2 linked regions of the Caenorhabditis elegans genome follow. The protein of the gene in region 2 interacts with the protein of the main gene of each other region in a pairwise test. Each region holds a gene or a part of one and is shown on either strand. Other genes may lie near its edges. The genes, in order: actl-1 and pik-1.

The links.
Region 1: the proteins of pik-1 (region 2) and actl-1 interact in binary tests that used the Caenorhabditis elegans proteins (3 or more experiments, as listed by UniProt).

What each region holds. Positions count from the first base shown.
Region 1 is NC_003284.9:6,495,895-6,502,414, forward strand, and holds actl-1 (ACT1-like protein), read right to left. Parts: upstream 3,943-6,520; coding exon 3,871-3,942; intron 3,609-3,870; coding exon 3,511-3,608; intron 3,461-3,510; coding exon 3,340-3,460; intron 3,295-3,339; coding exon 3,138-3,294; intron 3,054-3,137; coding exon 2,952-3,053; intron 2,898-2,951; coding exon 2,707-2,897; intron 2,209-2,706; coding exon 2,044-2,208; intron 1,361-2,043; coding exon 1,184-1,360; 3' UTR 909-1,183; downstream 1-908. Other genes in the region: cdf-1 (Cation diffusion facilitator family protein 1), read right to left, coding at 4,401-4,505, 4,556-4,859, 5,370-5,511, 5,591-6,242. UniProt on the Caenorhabditis elegans protein: May act as an adapter to facilitate downstream signaling for the receptor complex composed of ilcr-1 and ilcr-2, which is a signaling complex that modulates neuronal activity and animal behavior in response to sensory neuron input.
Region 2 is NC_003282.8:13,415,188-13,424,141, reverse strand, and holds pik-1 (Pelle-like serine/threonine-protein kinase pik-1), read right to left. Parts: upstream 7,351-8,954; 5' UTR 7,346-7,350; coding exon 7,234-7,345; intron 6,350-7,233; coding exon 6,164-6,349; intron 6,112-6,163; coding exon 5,943-6,111; intron 4,978-5,942; coding exon 4,602-4,977; intron 3,232-4,601; coding exon 2,617-3,231; 3' UTR 1,751-2,616; downstream 1-1,750. Other genes in the region: Polynucleotide 5'-hydroxyl-kinase nol-9, read right to left, coding at 445-630, 680-777, 1,532-1,640; Transcription factor aptf-2, read left to right, coding at 8,188-8,199. UniProt on the Caenorhabditis elegans protein: Through association with the adapter actl-1, may act downstream of the receptor complex composed of ilcr-1 and ilcr-2, which is a signaling complex that modulates neuronal activity and animal behavior in response to sensory neuron input.

The sequences.
Region 1 (6,520 bases), on a different chromosome or scaffold from region 2:
TTGGTGGTCCGAGTGCTTTAAAGCATGTTTTATGTGGATTTTCTTAGGGCGCAACACAAACTTTTGCTTGCTCCTTCTGTTCGTGCTTTGTTTCGTTTGCCAGGAGCACCACAATCAAGATTAAAAAAATAACAAAGATCTTTCCATTACTCACTCTCACAAGCAATAAAAAGTAAGGAAAAAACAGGGATGCAAAGAAAAAATTGTTATCGTTGGATGTAAAGTGACTATGACTATCATATCAAATCTTTTTCCAGAAGCTGTTGTACATCTAATGCCGTCTGATAAGCTTTGCCTATTATTTTGGTTAATATTTTTTGAGATGATCTCCTCCTTCTTCATCATGCCAGTCGATTGCTAATCCACTGTTTGAAAAAGGAGAAAATAAAAATTGTCAACTAGGAAACCTTTCTCTCGAAACCTCATTGGCACGTATTTCGGGGAAAATAATTGTAAAAGCGTCCAATGAACTCACAAAAATTAAAATGTTAAGATGGAATATTGCCAATGGGAAAAGTGAAACAATTAATTTCGTGAAACAATTTTGCATCAAACTTATTTCTCAAAATTCAAAATTTTCAACAACTTGTAATTGAAATTTTGATTATGAACCGATGTTCCCGGTTAGCGAAAAAAGGGTGAAAAGTATTGAAAGCATAGGATTTCCATCTGAGCGACTGAGTTTGCCAAGGGGTTTATGAAAACATCCCCATAGTTGTTACTCTCAATTATTACCACTCAGATTTTGTCTCAATCTCTTCTTCAAATTTGTTCTGAATATTAGTTTCCGCTAATTTAATTAAAAGCGCGGCAGATGTGTCAGCTTCAATTGAGAAACTGAAACCTATAAAAAGATGTGAGAAGAGTGGGGAAAAGTTGTCTAGGATAAAAGTGCTTCACAATTATGAATTCATAGTGTTCAAAGATAGAACCTTCTGTAAGATTTATTTCATTAGTGTATAATAAAATCTGGAAATTGAAAGTCGGAAACAACATCTTAATAGATTAACTGAGAAAATTGAAAGAAAAATACTGTTTTTGTAATATGAAAAAATGTGGATAGTAAAGACTGTCTGAGAAATCTAAAAAAACACGTGACTGTCATCAAAAAAGTGTACAATGAAAAAAAAGTTCATCAGATGCTACAATGTATAGATTATTGGCTCAAAATACCACATGGTGTTTATTGTGTAATACTGTAGTTCATGGAATCCTCGTGATGATCATTTGCATTATTGTGTGATTGTTTCTTCACTTTTCCATCTCTCAGAAGACGCTTCACAAATGGTTCAAAACTTCCGGGGAATGGATATTGATTCGTTACAGCTGCCCAGTACGTGTCCGTTACTTTTTCCACTTCCTATAATACACATTTCACACAGTGTAAACATTTTTGGAAGCCAGAGAGTTAGATGTCCAGCCATGTATTTTCAGAAAGATACTGCAATCTTTAATTAAAAACGAAGTTTTTAAATGTGATGTTAAGACAAATTAATCAAAAAATTTTGTAGAAGGTGGAGCAGCTATATTTGAGTCTTTATTTTATCAGACCAAAAATGATCACAAAATTCCGACGTTCGTAATGAGAAAACTCTAAAACTTCTCATAAAAAATAACGGTAGTTCAGTTTTGGAAAAAAAACCCTATTTTCAGCTGAAATCTCAAATTTCGCCAACGTAATGAATTAGGCTCACATGAAATTTTACTTTTGCAAGTTGTGGTTTTGTCGAGTATACAGAATTGCGATTTTAGATGAAAATACAATATTTTTTCAATAGTTTGAACCGCCATAACCTGTTTTTGAGAAAACTTCAGAACCTCATCACAAAATTGGGTACATTTGGTCTTAACTTTAATGAGCAATGTCCCCAATTTTGCTACTCCATCTTTGAAAATGAAAATAATTGCCTCAACATCGAGATATAATTTTGAATCAAAGATTTTCACTGCATCAGTTTTAAAAAAATTAACCTTTAACCTAACATTTAACCTAAAACCTTCTGGATACCAGAAATTACTCCTCTTTCAAAATACCAAACTCACCGACATAAGTACACATCTGCCTCGTAAATTGCGATTGCCATTCATGTGGAATTCTACATTCAACTTATCACTGATTGATTTTCGGAACTGAGGCATTTTGCTTTTGCTGTTCGGTTTTGTGGCTTCTATGTAAGATTTATTGAAGCACACAACAATATGCGGAAACTGGAAAATGCAAAAAATTTTGTAATCAGTAATTTACAATCACAAACAACTTAGAAAAAGTTGAATAATAATAAAAAAAAACATTGCCCACGATTTCTGGAAAAATGAAAACTAAATCCGTAAAAAAAAAACACCAGAACAGTATTAGACTTACAGGGCTTTAAAGTCTATAATGTTCAAATCTTTCAAAAAACCAAAAAGTTGTTTCCGAAATGTTACACAATGAAATACATTTGAAAAATTGAAACTATTATCAAAAAATATGAATCGCACAGGCCACGTGGCTTTTGTTTTTTATTTCATCTTTATTTACGCTCCTCCCACAATTTTATTTTCGGAGAGAATTTAAAAATTGAACTAAAAGTCAAACATGGGAGGAGCCTAAATAAAAAAGAAATATAATAAAAAAACAAAAGCCACGTGGCCTGTGCAATTGTTATTTTTTGATAATAATTTGATAACATGCCCCCGAAATGACTAGACTTATTGCCAACTCACTAGATCATAATGCTTTTCCAGCTCCTGAAACACGTTTCCCCGATCATCCTTCTCCCACACCTTCACATCAAAAACTTCCAAGTCTTTTCCCTCCTTGCGTTCTTTTTCTAAAACATTTTTCAAATTGCATTTAAACCATTTGAAATCTTCCTTTTCTTTGGACGTAGTTTCATAGTGCAACAATAATATTTCTGAAACAATAAATGTATTAGGTTCCAATTACTAAAACTTCAATTAAAACTTGCTTTTCCTAGCATTCATCGAATGTACAGGCTCCGCATATTCTGAAAATGTAGTTGTACTTGCCATGGAGTCCGTGTCAGCAAATGCAAACATTGGTTCGGGAACTGTAATTACAATGTGCATGTATGAATTAGTTTTAATAATATCAGTCAAATTTAAAAAATTGTTACATGAAAATGATAACTCACCATTTTTCAGATAACTGTTGGAATCTATATACGATTTAAGCTTCACTAAAATATCGACTCGTTGAGCATATGCTAGAGCATTTACAAGTATTTGAGCGTGCATATCTTCAAATGGCTTCCACGATAGCTTGCTATTTCGTTCCCTTCCTCCTATCTCCTGAAAACAAACTTTATAAACGTTGAAACTATTTTTGAAAGTTACCGAGTATTCAATGCCGCGCAAGAAACTTGAAACAATCTGCCATGATCCGGCCGAAACCGTTGTTGGGACATCTAGATTTGCTAAAATCAAATCTCGTATTTCTTTCTTGAAGTTTTTGATTCTGTAATCGATTTTTTTACTTGACGTTTTTTATAGAATAGAATGACATACCGAATGTTTGCAGGTAGGGTAATTCGAACATCAGATACTAAAATTGGATCATCTATGTGAACGTCTTCTAGAATATCTTCAACGCATTTGTCGGATAACTGAAATTTTCAAGATGTATATTTTGTTAACATTTTATTTGGAAATTTGAACAGGAGTATAAGAAACATTTTTTAATACTGTCACTTCGATCAAATGTTTTGAAAAATTGCTTAAAACTGACTCAAATATCAATGTGCCGACAAAAACAGTAATTCGGAACATTACAACTTTAAGTCGCATTTCGAGCAACTTGATAGTACACTTCAAATATATTCAATCAGTTTCTTTTTTACACAAAAATCTTTTGAACTACCAACTTACCACATCAACCTCCTCCCAATCATCGCCATCAAGATCCAACTCAATTGTTACGTCCATTTTCATCTTAGTCATTTTTCGCTTATTACTGTATGTATAATTATTTATAAATATAGTAGACAATTTGGCATTAACCATTGGATGTTCAAACTAGTTTTTACTTAAAATGGATATTTCATTTATTATTTTTTATCACTCTAGAAATTTAGAGAAATTCTTACTGAAGGGTAACAAAACAAGTAGGCGTAAGTGAAAATTGGTAGACACAAAGTAAGGACACTTCAGTAAATGGGGGTGGGGAAATGGATTGACACGTATAAATTAAATAGTTTGACGAGTTTTTGACCAGATTGTGGAAAAAATTATACGGTTAATGAAGGAAACTAAGAAAGGTGAGTAGATGTTGAGATGCTAAAACGATCAAATGCAAAAACATAGTTTCAAGGAGAAGAAAAAGTACATTTTAATGTTGGTATTTTCGGCCCGCGAAGTTCAAAATTTTTTAATCAAAAATAAAATAGTTGTTTGAACGATTATTCGGTGATTTCATTTTCAGTTGACACACTGACTGGCTCCTCGATGCTTTTGCCATCAACAACTTTTTTAACCATTATTCTCATCGACTGCATGCAGGTATCCTGAATTTTTTTTTTATTTTCGATTTCGCACAAGATAAATAAAAGCTTACCTCAAAGGTGGGTTCAATAGTCGTTGAGTGTACTCCCAAGTCGTGGAAATAATTTTTAATTTTATAAGCAGCTTCAGGAAAAACTGCTGGGTGACATATGTTCACGTGGGCGGCAGCAATGATTCGTTGCCCACACAACGTCCACACAGACAGCTTTTCCACTTTGGATACACCAACAATGCTGCACAAATCTTTTTTCACCTTTTCGAGGTCGAGCCCTTCTGGGGTTTGCTTGAGCAGCTTTTCTCCCGATGTTTTGACAAGAACCACTGCAGTGAAACCCATGATGGAGGCCAGGGAAATACTGAAAATTAACGGTCCTTTTTAAAATATTATACAATACAATTTTATACAAAAATACAATTTTAAAATACTGAATGGTGGAGTACAGCCAGAGAAGACTAAATTTAAAAAAAAAACTATTATGTGGTTTCATAATTACTAATAATAACATAAATCTTTTCTAAAAACATTGAATGTTTTTCTTTTAAATGTTTTTCTTGCGAGTCAAAAAGTTAGGAAAACTGATCTTGAGCCACTTTCCGAGAAATCCAAATCAAAGTTCGAGCCCCTGTAATGCTGGAAAATGGATAACAACCGAATCGTGGTATAAAAACTGAAAAAAATTGTTTTTGATCCTCGACTTTAGAAAAAATTGACAAAAAGAGTTTTCACTGTTTTCCGACTCGCAGTTTTCCAAAATAAAAGTTGACATTTTTTAAATGATTTTTGGTGGTTTCAGCACTATATGATTATAAGTGATTTTAAGATTGGTTTGTTTTGAAGCTTTTCGGCCAAATTTTATAAATATTACCTTAAAATTGGATCCAAATAAGCGGCAATTTTCCATGTTGGCAAAAAGTATACAAATCCGGCAGAAATCATGACGATCACAGATCCGAAGGCATCCGACAATAAATGAAGCCAAACTCCGTGAATGTTCACATTTTTGTCTTCTACAAACATTTCGCTACACTATTTTGATTTAAAACATTTTCGAATGAAAACTAGAGTTTTCTCAAAAAAAAAACTCACTTTTCTGTTCTGTCTTTTGAGCACTTTTATCGAGATTGTTAGAAGACACATTGAGAACTTCACTGGCCATGTGTGTTCCATATGGTGTCATTTGACGATCGACCGTCGCGATGATGGTATTCTGACTATTAACTCCAGAAAGACGACGTTCAATAATGTCATTGGAGTTGTCATCATTATCCAGTAGTCGCACATTGGCGTCGGAGTTTGCCATCGCAGAAGCACTTCGAAATTTTCCATTCAATCTAGTGTGATCCGGCTCTTCTTCACCATTGCAATCACTTTTCCCATCATGAGAGTGTCCATGGCCATTTGCATGACTGTGACCATGCCCATCATTTTTCTTAGTCTTCTTGTTATTGTGACTGTGACCATGACTTCCTCCGTGACTGTGACCATGACTTCCGCCTCCATGACTGTGACCGTGACCACTCAAGTTGAACATACCGAATAAGTTGATTAGCAATCCGATGAATCCGATGACAAGTACTTGTAGAGGGTGTGTAATCATGTGTACATTGATGATACGTCCAACTGCCTCTTGAAACACGAGAACACATACCGTACACATAAAGATTCCGTTGAAGAATCCTCCAAGTGTTTCAGCACGGACCCAGCCGTATCCGAGGCGCGTGGAAGGGCGAGTAGCGATCTGACGAATAATTGGCTTATAATTTTGCATTATTGTCGCTACAAGACAAAAAGCAATGTTTCTCTGACTTTTGCATAAAATTGGCAGCGACTATATATTTAAATTTTGGGTATTTATGGGTTTTGTTTTATTTTTAGACTTGACTTTATAAAGGTCAAAATTTCAAAAAAAATCACGTTTCTACTTGGAAACTTTCAAAGTTTTTCGAGGCAACACAACCCATACTGAATTTCATACTTCTCAAAATTCAATGATCAGTATTGCACTCTCAATTAGTT
Region 2 (8,954 bases):
AATTTCGCTATTATTTTATTTTCTGAAAATCTAAGTTTTTTCACAGTTTCTAAATTTCTGAATACTAAACATTTTGTAGATTTTTCAAAACTATTTTTTTTAATTCGAAAATTAAAAATGCTCTGAAATTTCGAAAAGCTTAAAAATACAAAATTTCTGAAAACTTTTCCAAAAATCATGAATTATTAGTTTAATTTTATTTCTGAAAATTCCAAAAATACAACTTTTTTGAACATTTGAAAACTTATTGAAAAATTCAAAAGTATCAAAATTTCCAAAACCCCGAAAAGCTGAAAAATTCAAAATTTTGAAAATTTCTACTTCTTTTTTACTGAAAAATGCACTAGAATTTTTTATTCTGTAAATTATCTTTTTTGCCCTTTGTTTTAGTGGTATTTCTGAATTTGAGACTATTACAAAGCAAAAATACACCTAAAAACATACAGAAACAACACCAGAAACTGTCTCTTCAGCAAAATCTAAAATTTTGCTGAAAATAAAGACAGATGGCTCCGTGGTTCCAATCATTTCCATAATTTTCTCGTAATTTTTCGGTGCAACCTCTTTCAGTCGAAACTTGAGACGAGCATGCTTATAAGAAGGTCCACTTTTAAAAACTTGTAGAATTGCCTGAAGAAATTCTTTTGATTTCTAAAAAGTCGAAATTTACTTTTTGTACCGGTACATCCATTCTCTGCGGTGCCGAGATTTTCATGAAATTGCTCGATTCACACGAAACTGCCGGAAGGTTGTAGTCGTTGATTGACGCATTTCCAGCTGAATTTCAAACTTTGTAGTGGCGTTTTTTTTTTAAATAGAAAACGAACAATTTTCAATTTTAAAATTAATTTTTCAAGAACACCGAAAATAGAACATTTGAGTTTTCTGATTTTTTTATTAGAAATTTTTTTCAGAAAATTCAAAAAAAAAATTTTTTTTTTTGAAACGAAAACTGTAAAATGTTATATTTTTTCAAATTTTTTTAAAACTAAAAACGAAAATTTTCGATTTTTCTGTTTTTTTTTGTTGAAAAATGAAATATTTCGTTTTTTCTCTGTTTTTCTTTTTCAAAAAACCGAAAATTTTTCAGATTTTTTCAAGCCTTTGAAAAATCGATTTCTTAAATTGTGATTTTTTTGTGAAAATAAAAATTGTACAATGCTTTCAAACCAAAAATTTTCGATTTTTCCAAATATTTAAAATCAAAAACAAATTTTTTTTTTTTGAAAAATTACAGAAAAATAACAAAACAAACAATTTTGGATTTTTCAATTTTTTTTAGTCAAAAACTTTTTTTAAATCAATTTTAAAATTTTGAAAATCTAAAACTGAAAATTTTTCGATTTTTCATTTTTCTGAAACCAAAAAAACTAAATTTTTTAAAGTTTTTATACCGGAAAACTGAAAAGCAAACTGTTTTTTAACTGAAAAAACTATAAATTTTTAAAATTTTTTAGACAAAAACCGAAAGAATATCTAAAAAATTTTCAATTTTTCGTCTTTTTTCATAGCAAAAACCCAAAATTTTTACCTAAACACAAAAACGAGCACGATCCAAAAATCGAAAGACGTTCTCCGGGTTGAACCACGTAGATTTCAAGATTACTGTCCCGACATTCGAATCGAACAACCTCTTCCATCTCTGGAGAATTGTTTGGAAAAATACCTTGAAATTTCAAACTTTCAAAAAATTGGGAAAATGGTTTACATCCAGTTATAAGAAGGGAAGAAATTAAATTATATTTTAAAAAAAACAGATTCAATAAAAAATATATAATAAATAATTATTATCCAGAAGCAAAAGTTCGCGATTTCGCGCCAAAAATACTGTATCTGGTCTCGAAGCGACAGTTTTTGTTAAGAGTACTGTAATTTCAAACTTCCGCAAATCGACAAACCGTCAAATTGCCGATTTGCTGAAAATTTTCCGGCAAATTGGCAAATTTCAGGAATTGAAATTTCCGGCAAATCGCCAAACTGCCGGAATTGAAATTTCCTGCAAATCGGCAAATCGTTGGATATAAAAATTTCCGGCAAATTGGCGAGTTGCCAAAATTGAAATTTCCGCCAAATCGGTAATTTGCGAAAAATAAAATTTTCCGGCAAATACGCAAAGTGCCGGATGTGAAAATTTCCGGCAAATTGGAAGATTGGCAAACTGCCGAAAATAACAACTTCCGGCAAATCGGCAATTTACCGAAATGAAATTGAAATTTCCGGCAAATTGGCGAATTGTCAGAATTGAAATTTCCGGCAAATCGGCAAGTTGTCGGAAATCAAACTTTCCGGCAAATTGGCGAATTGCCACAATTGAAATTTCCGGCAACTCGGTATTTTTCAGAAAATAAAAATTTCCGGCAAATCAGCATATTGCCGGATATGAAAACTTTCGGCAAATCGGAAAATTGCCGGAAATGAAACTTTCAGGCAAATTGGCAAATTGCCAGAATTGAAATTTCCGGCAAATAGGCAAATTGCCGGATATAAAAATTTGCCAAAAAAGCCCCTGCTACAGTAATCTCTATAGGCGGTCGTGTCGAGACCCGCTACCGTAGTTTTGACTCAAAAATGGCAAAATTTCGAGTTCGAGGAATATGGCAAGGTACACAGTATTAATTAGACAACTGGCGGAATTGAATTTTTACAAAGATATTCAACAATTTGTGACATAGTCGGTCGAACTTTCCGATCGTTATTCGCTCCAGCTAATCCAACTTCAATCAGAGCATCCAAAAATGATTTTTCCTCATCACCAACAAGTGGCGGCGCTCGTCGATCAATAAAAATCTCTCTGACTGGAATCTTCCGATGTGCTGCCAATTCCTTATTAACCTGACAATATTCAACGAGCCCCCGAGTTTCACGAGAATCCGAATATGCCCGTTGACCAGATGCAATTTCCAAAAGTACTATTCCAAAACTATAGACATCAAGTTTTGTGGTAAGAATCTTTGATGTAATGAATTCTGGTGCAAGATAAGCAAGTGTTCCCTTGATATGTGAAGCAATTAATGGATGCTTTTCCATTGCTTCAGCTTCAACATGTCCATCTCTACACAGACCAAAATCGCCGATTTTCGGTTCCATATGCTTGTCGAGAAGAATATTCGCTGTTTTTATATCGCCATGAATTATTGGAGTTTTTCCGAAAGAATGAAGAAATCCGAGTCCTCGACCTGCTCCAATACTGATTTCTTTTCGTTGAATCCACGTGAGAGGTACACTTCCTTTCTGAGAAGAAAAAGTAATACCTATTCGTACAAGGGCTGGGACTTTTTTGGTTTTTTATTTTTTATTTTTTTTAGATTTAAAAAATAAAATTTTTTTCTACTTTCTCACGATTTTTTAAAATTAATTCAAGAATAAAATTTGGTTTTTTTTCATATTTCAAAATTTTTGGATTTAAAGTTTTGTTTTACGGTCCAAAATTGTTTCTTTTGGTCTCGAAAAACAAATTTTCTTCGAGAACTCGAAAAACTAATATTTTTTATTTTGAAACGAGTTTTTTTAAAACAATTTCTGGAACATTTTCAAAATTTTGAGCATACTTGTACTCTGGTTACAATTTCCAGTCTCTTTTTTAAGACGAAAAATACAGAATTTTAAAAAAATTCCAAAATGTTTAAATTTTATGTTATTTGTTGGGAATTCGAAAACCAGAAAATTTCAAAGCATAAATTTTGTAGATTTTTGAAAACCAATTTTTTAATTCGAAAATTTTAAATTTTCTGAAATTTTGAAAAGCTTTTTTTTTCCGAAAATCATGAATTTTTAATTTTATTTCATTTTTGAAAATTCCAAAATGTCCAAATTTTCTGAAAATTCTAAAGTATCAAACTTTCGGAAAACTCGAAAAACTGAACAATTCAAAATTTTTAAAATTTCTTTTTTTTTCTGGAAAATTCCCCTTTTTAAAAAAAATTCACCTCGAAGAAATTCTAATTTTTGAACATTTAAAAATTTTCAAAATTCTAAAAAACTCGAAAATCCAAAAATTCAACTTTTTTCGAAATTTGAAAACTTTCCTTTTCGATTTTTTCCGTTTTTATTTTGTGGGATTTCTGAATTTGTTTTACTTATTTTCACTATAAAAGCGAAAATCATACATTTTCAAAAATCCAACAACAAAAATTGTGGTAATTTTTCTTATTTTTTGAAAAATTATGTTTTTCTCATCAAAATGAAATAATAGGAAAATTAAAAATTTTCGAATGTTAGGCAATAATCAAAAAATCGGCAGCCTTGATCGGAATCAGGGCTGTAGTTTTTTTTTTTAGTTTTTCGGACTTTTGTCGGAATATTATGTTTTAATTGGTATGTTTTAAAAATCCAAATTTTTTTTGTTTCTTGTTTCGTTTTACGGACAAATTCGATTTTTTGTTTATTTTTTCTGTCAAATATGAAATTTTTTTTTTAATTTTAAACGTTTTTTCGATGTTGTTTAGAAATTGGAACCATCGACCGAAAATTGTAATTTTTTGAAAATAAAAAATATTAAAAATTTAACAAACAAAGGTCCCAGTTTTTTCAAATTTCGTATATTTCGATCAGAAAAAAGAACATAATTTTCCAAGTTATTTCAAGATTTTTTCGGAACGAACTCTACACAACAATCGATCCTCCAATGATCCATTTGACATAAATTGATATACAAGACATGGTTCAGATCCTTCCAATGAATATGCATAAATTGGTAGAATATTATCATGTCTAAATCTTGCCAGTGTTCGTAATTCTGTTAAACTCTGTCGAAGTCGTTCTCGTGATCCATTCTGTGATGTATCATTTCCTGAATGTAATCTTTTCACTGCAACAATTCCTCCAGTTCCTTTTAATTCTCCTTTATATACTGTTCCATATCCACCTTTTCCAATTACATTGCTCACAGCAAAGCCGTTAGTTGCTTCGAGAAGTTCACAATAAGTTACTGGAAGTGTTCCTTCGATTGCTACACGAAGTGTATCGTCAGTGTTACTTCTGAAAATTATTTTATTATAAATAAAAACTATTTCATACTAAAAATAGAATGGCCGCCGTGTCGATTTACACAGCTCGTGTACTCCCCGAGGAGAAGTTTACAGTAATTTAAAAATTCAAGTTTGTGACTAGAATATTTGAATTTGGAACATTCCCGCGAATTATTTTTTTTCGGCAATTTGCTAATATGCCGGAATTGTTCAATTTTGGCAATTTGCCGGTTTCCTGGAGATGTTCATTATCGACAAATTGCTGGTTTGCCGGAAATTTCAATTTCGGTAATTTGGCAATTTGCCAGAAATTTTTTATTCCGGCAATGTGCCAATTTGCCGGAAATTTAAATTCCGGCAATTTCCGATTTACTGGAAATTTTCATTATCGGCACATTGCCGATTTTCCGGAAATTTCAATTTTGGCAATCTGCCGGAAATTTCAATTCCGGCATTTTTACAGATTTGCCGGAAAATTTCAATTCCAGCAATTTGACAAATTGCCGGCAATTCGCCTATTTGGCGGAAATTCTAATTCCGGCAATTTGCCGATTTGCCGGAAATTTTAATTCTGGCAATTTGCCGGAAATTTCTTTTTTCAAGTGTTAATGCTGATGATTTTAGTGTAAAAACCCGCAAATTCTTAATTTCTCTGTAGTTTTCAGCAGAAAAACAAAACGATGCTTTCCAAGTAAAGGGATGGTTTTTCTCAAAAAATTAGATGAATTCGCAGTAAATTAATCATTTGAAATCGAGCAAGTTGTAAAAATTCATCGATTTCAGGCAAAAATATTGTTATTTCATGACGAAAATCATGTATGTCGGTTTTTCGTTGTTTTTATTTTTCGAAAATCGTAAAACGAAAAATGTTCTCTTTTTAATTTTTCAACAGTTCAATTTTTTCCGAAAACTAAAAAAAAAACTGATTAAGAGTTATATTAATTCCAATTATTTTTTCCAAATGTCTAAAATGACCTGGATAACTGAGAAGCTGCTGCTGCTGCTGGTGACGGAGATGACTCTTTTATTTCAGTTTTTTTCAAACGAGACGCACTTTGAGACCCCGGCGGTTGGACCATTTGTTTCGAAACTCGAGACGTCGAATTTGTGACCTTGTTCTCCAAATAATGATACTTCTCATGTACTGTGAATTAAAAATTTTAAATTTTTGTAGTAGAAACAACAATTAGTTGTACCTTGTGACCTCATCATTCTCATCAATCGAATCAATTTTGTTTTCGCAAAAAGTTGATAAAGATGAGTTGTCGAGTATCCTTTCGAGCTCCATATTCTTAAAAGTAACTCCGATGGACTTTGGTTATAACTTGAATATCTCTTGCAACCTTCAACATCTCTCAACTCAATTCCGGGCATGTAAGGTGCTGAAATTATGGATATTTGAACACTTTGCTATTTATATTCCCCAGACGTGAAATTTTGTGATTTCTCTGTCTAGGTCTCGACGCGACAATTGTTTTGTTAAATGCGAAAATGTGTGCGCCTTTAAAAGTGGTGTAGTCGAATTTTTGTTATTGCTTTATTAGACTCAAAACTATCTGAAAACACCGAATTTCATAATGAAACTTTTTGAAAACTTCTCAAAAAATAGTTATGACAGCTCAAAAAATGACCTAAAATTTGTTAAAATTTGAAATTTGACCGACTTGTAAAGCGGCTGGAAACAATTTTTTTGAAATCACCGTCAAATTTTGAGTATACATGTCAATTAACTTGCGTTTTCGACTACTACTTTACAATTAGGTATTTTAAAGTCGATGGACGGCGAGATTTGGTTTAAAAAAATTGTTAAAAATCTCGTCGTCCATAGACTTTAAAATACTTAAATCAAGTTGAAAACGCAAGATAATTAACTGGTATACCTACAATTAGACGGTGATTTCAAAAAAGTTCGTTTCCAGCCGCTTTACAAGTCGGTCAAATTTCAAATTTTAACTTATTTTAGGCCATTTTTTAAGCTGTCATAACTTTTTTTAGAAGTTTTATTAAGAAATTCGGTGTTTTCAGACAATTTTGAGTCTAATAAAGCAATAACAAAAATTCGACTACACCACCTTTAAAGGAAAACTATAAAAAAATTCGATGAAAAATCCGCAGATTCGAATGTTTGAAATAACTATTCTTTAAAGTGCTTTAAGAATTAAAGGCGCACACCGTTTCGCATATAACAAAAATTTGTCGTTTCGAGACCCTATTTTTGGAGCAAAAACCGCGAAATTTCAATGATTTGTTATAAAAAAGTCCGAACCAATCGTCTCCCAAGTGTTATCCGTATCTAAAATCGCACATATTTGCTGGAGAACTTCTCGTTTCATGAATGGAATCATTACAACTTCTGATACTCCAAGAGAATCATCCATTGTCTCTGAAAAATTCCAGATTATTTTTAAAAATATGTATTTAAACAATTTTAACAAGTTTAATTTTAAAAGAGTAGCTAATCAAAAATTATTTTGCTTTATTAAACTAAAAATGGTCCCAAAATATCGAATTTCATAACAAGACTGTTCAAAAATGCTTTTAAAAGGTTTATTTCCGCTAAAATCTCCAATTTCACCAACTTTTCCGTTTCACAGCGATCGGAAATTGATTTTTATCTGACTATTGCCCTATTTTGCTCATTTTCCTATTTATCTTCTGTTTTTTTGTTGATTTAATAGTTTGGATTTAAAAATTAAAATTTTAGATGATAAATTAACGAAACAACGCAAGAAAACCAATAAAAATATTCAAAATAGAAGAAAAATCAAATAAAAATCAATTTCTAACCGTTGTGTAACGAAAAATTGGGAAAATTCTATTTTTTCTTCGAAATTAATTTTTTTCTCGTTATAAAATTCGGGGTATTCGGGCCTTTTTGAGTATAATAAAGCAATAAAACTCCTCCTTTGATTGGTTTTTTGAAAAAATGTATAGAATGTTTTGAATGTGTTTTTATTATATTTTTAAAAATAAAAATATTTTAAATTAAAATTAAAATTTAATATTTAATTAAACTTATAAAACGAACAATTCTGAAATTCCAATAAATCCAAAAGCGGAGGAAAGCGGAGTGTCGTCACTTCCTCTCGTCGTCTCATCCCTCTCCCTCTCTCTACATTTTCTCTCTCTTCCATTCCATTACTTGGCACATTCTTCTGGAGATGTCACCTAGAAAACAGATGTTTTTGCAACACTGGAAGAGTAGATCAATAATAAAAGAATGGATATACAGGTGAGCGCGCACAGATTTGATCTCCACACCATAAACGATTTACAACCAATGAGGTCAAATATTGTAGAAGGCATTCGATCTACCTTATTAATGTCATTTCTTTCTTCCCTTTTTTTCAGCTTTTTTTTTGCTTTTTTTCCATAATTTGGAGGTCTGGCAATAACAATTTTACTTTCAAGCTGGAGTACCGAAATCTGAGACTTTGTTTTTTACACCCAAAATAGCCCAAAAATACCGAATTGGTAATGGGACGTTTTGAAAATTTCTCAAAAAAAAGTTATGGCAGTTGAAGGTTCTGGAAAAATGGCACATTTTCAGCTAAAATCAAAATTTTGGTCAACTTCTCGGTGTCACAGCGTCTGGAACATCATTTTTATGTAATTATCACTATTTAAAGACTATTGCGGTCTTCTATTAAGCGTTTATTCGTTGATTTAAACATATTTTCGGTAAGTGGGACACAAATAAAAGTTACATTTTTGTGCCCCACTGACAATAAATGTACTTAAATCAACGAATAAACGCCTAATAAAAAACAAAAATATTCTTTAAAAAGTGATAATTGAATCAAAATTAAGTTCCAGACGCTGCGACACCGAGAATTAGACAAAAATGTTGATTTTAGCTGAAAATTAGCCTTCTTTCCAGAACTTTGAGCCACCATAACTTTTTTTTTTGAGAAATTTCCAAAACGTCTCATTACACAATTCGGTAGTTTTGAGTCATTTTGGGTCTAAAAAAGCAAGGGTTCAGAT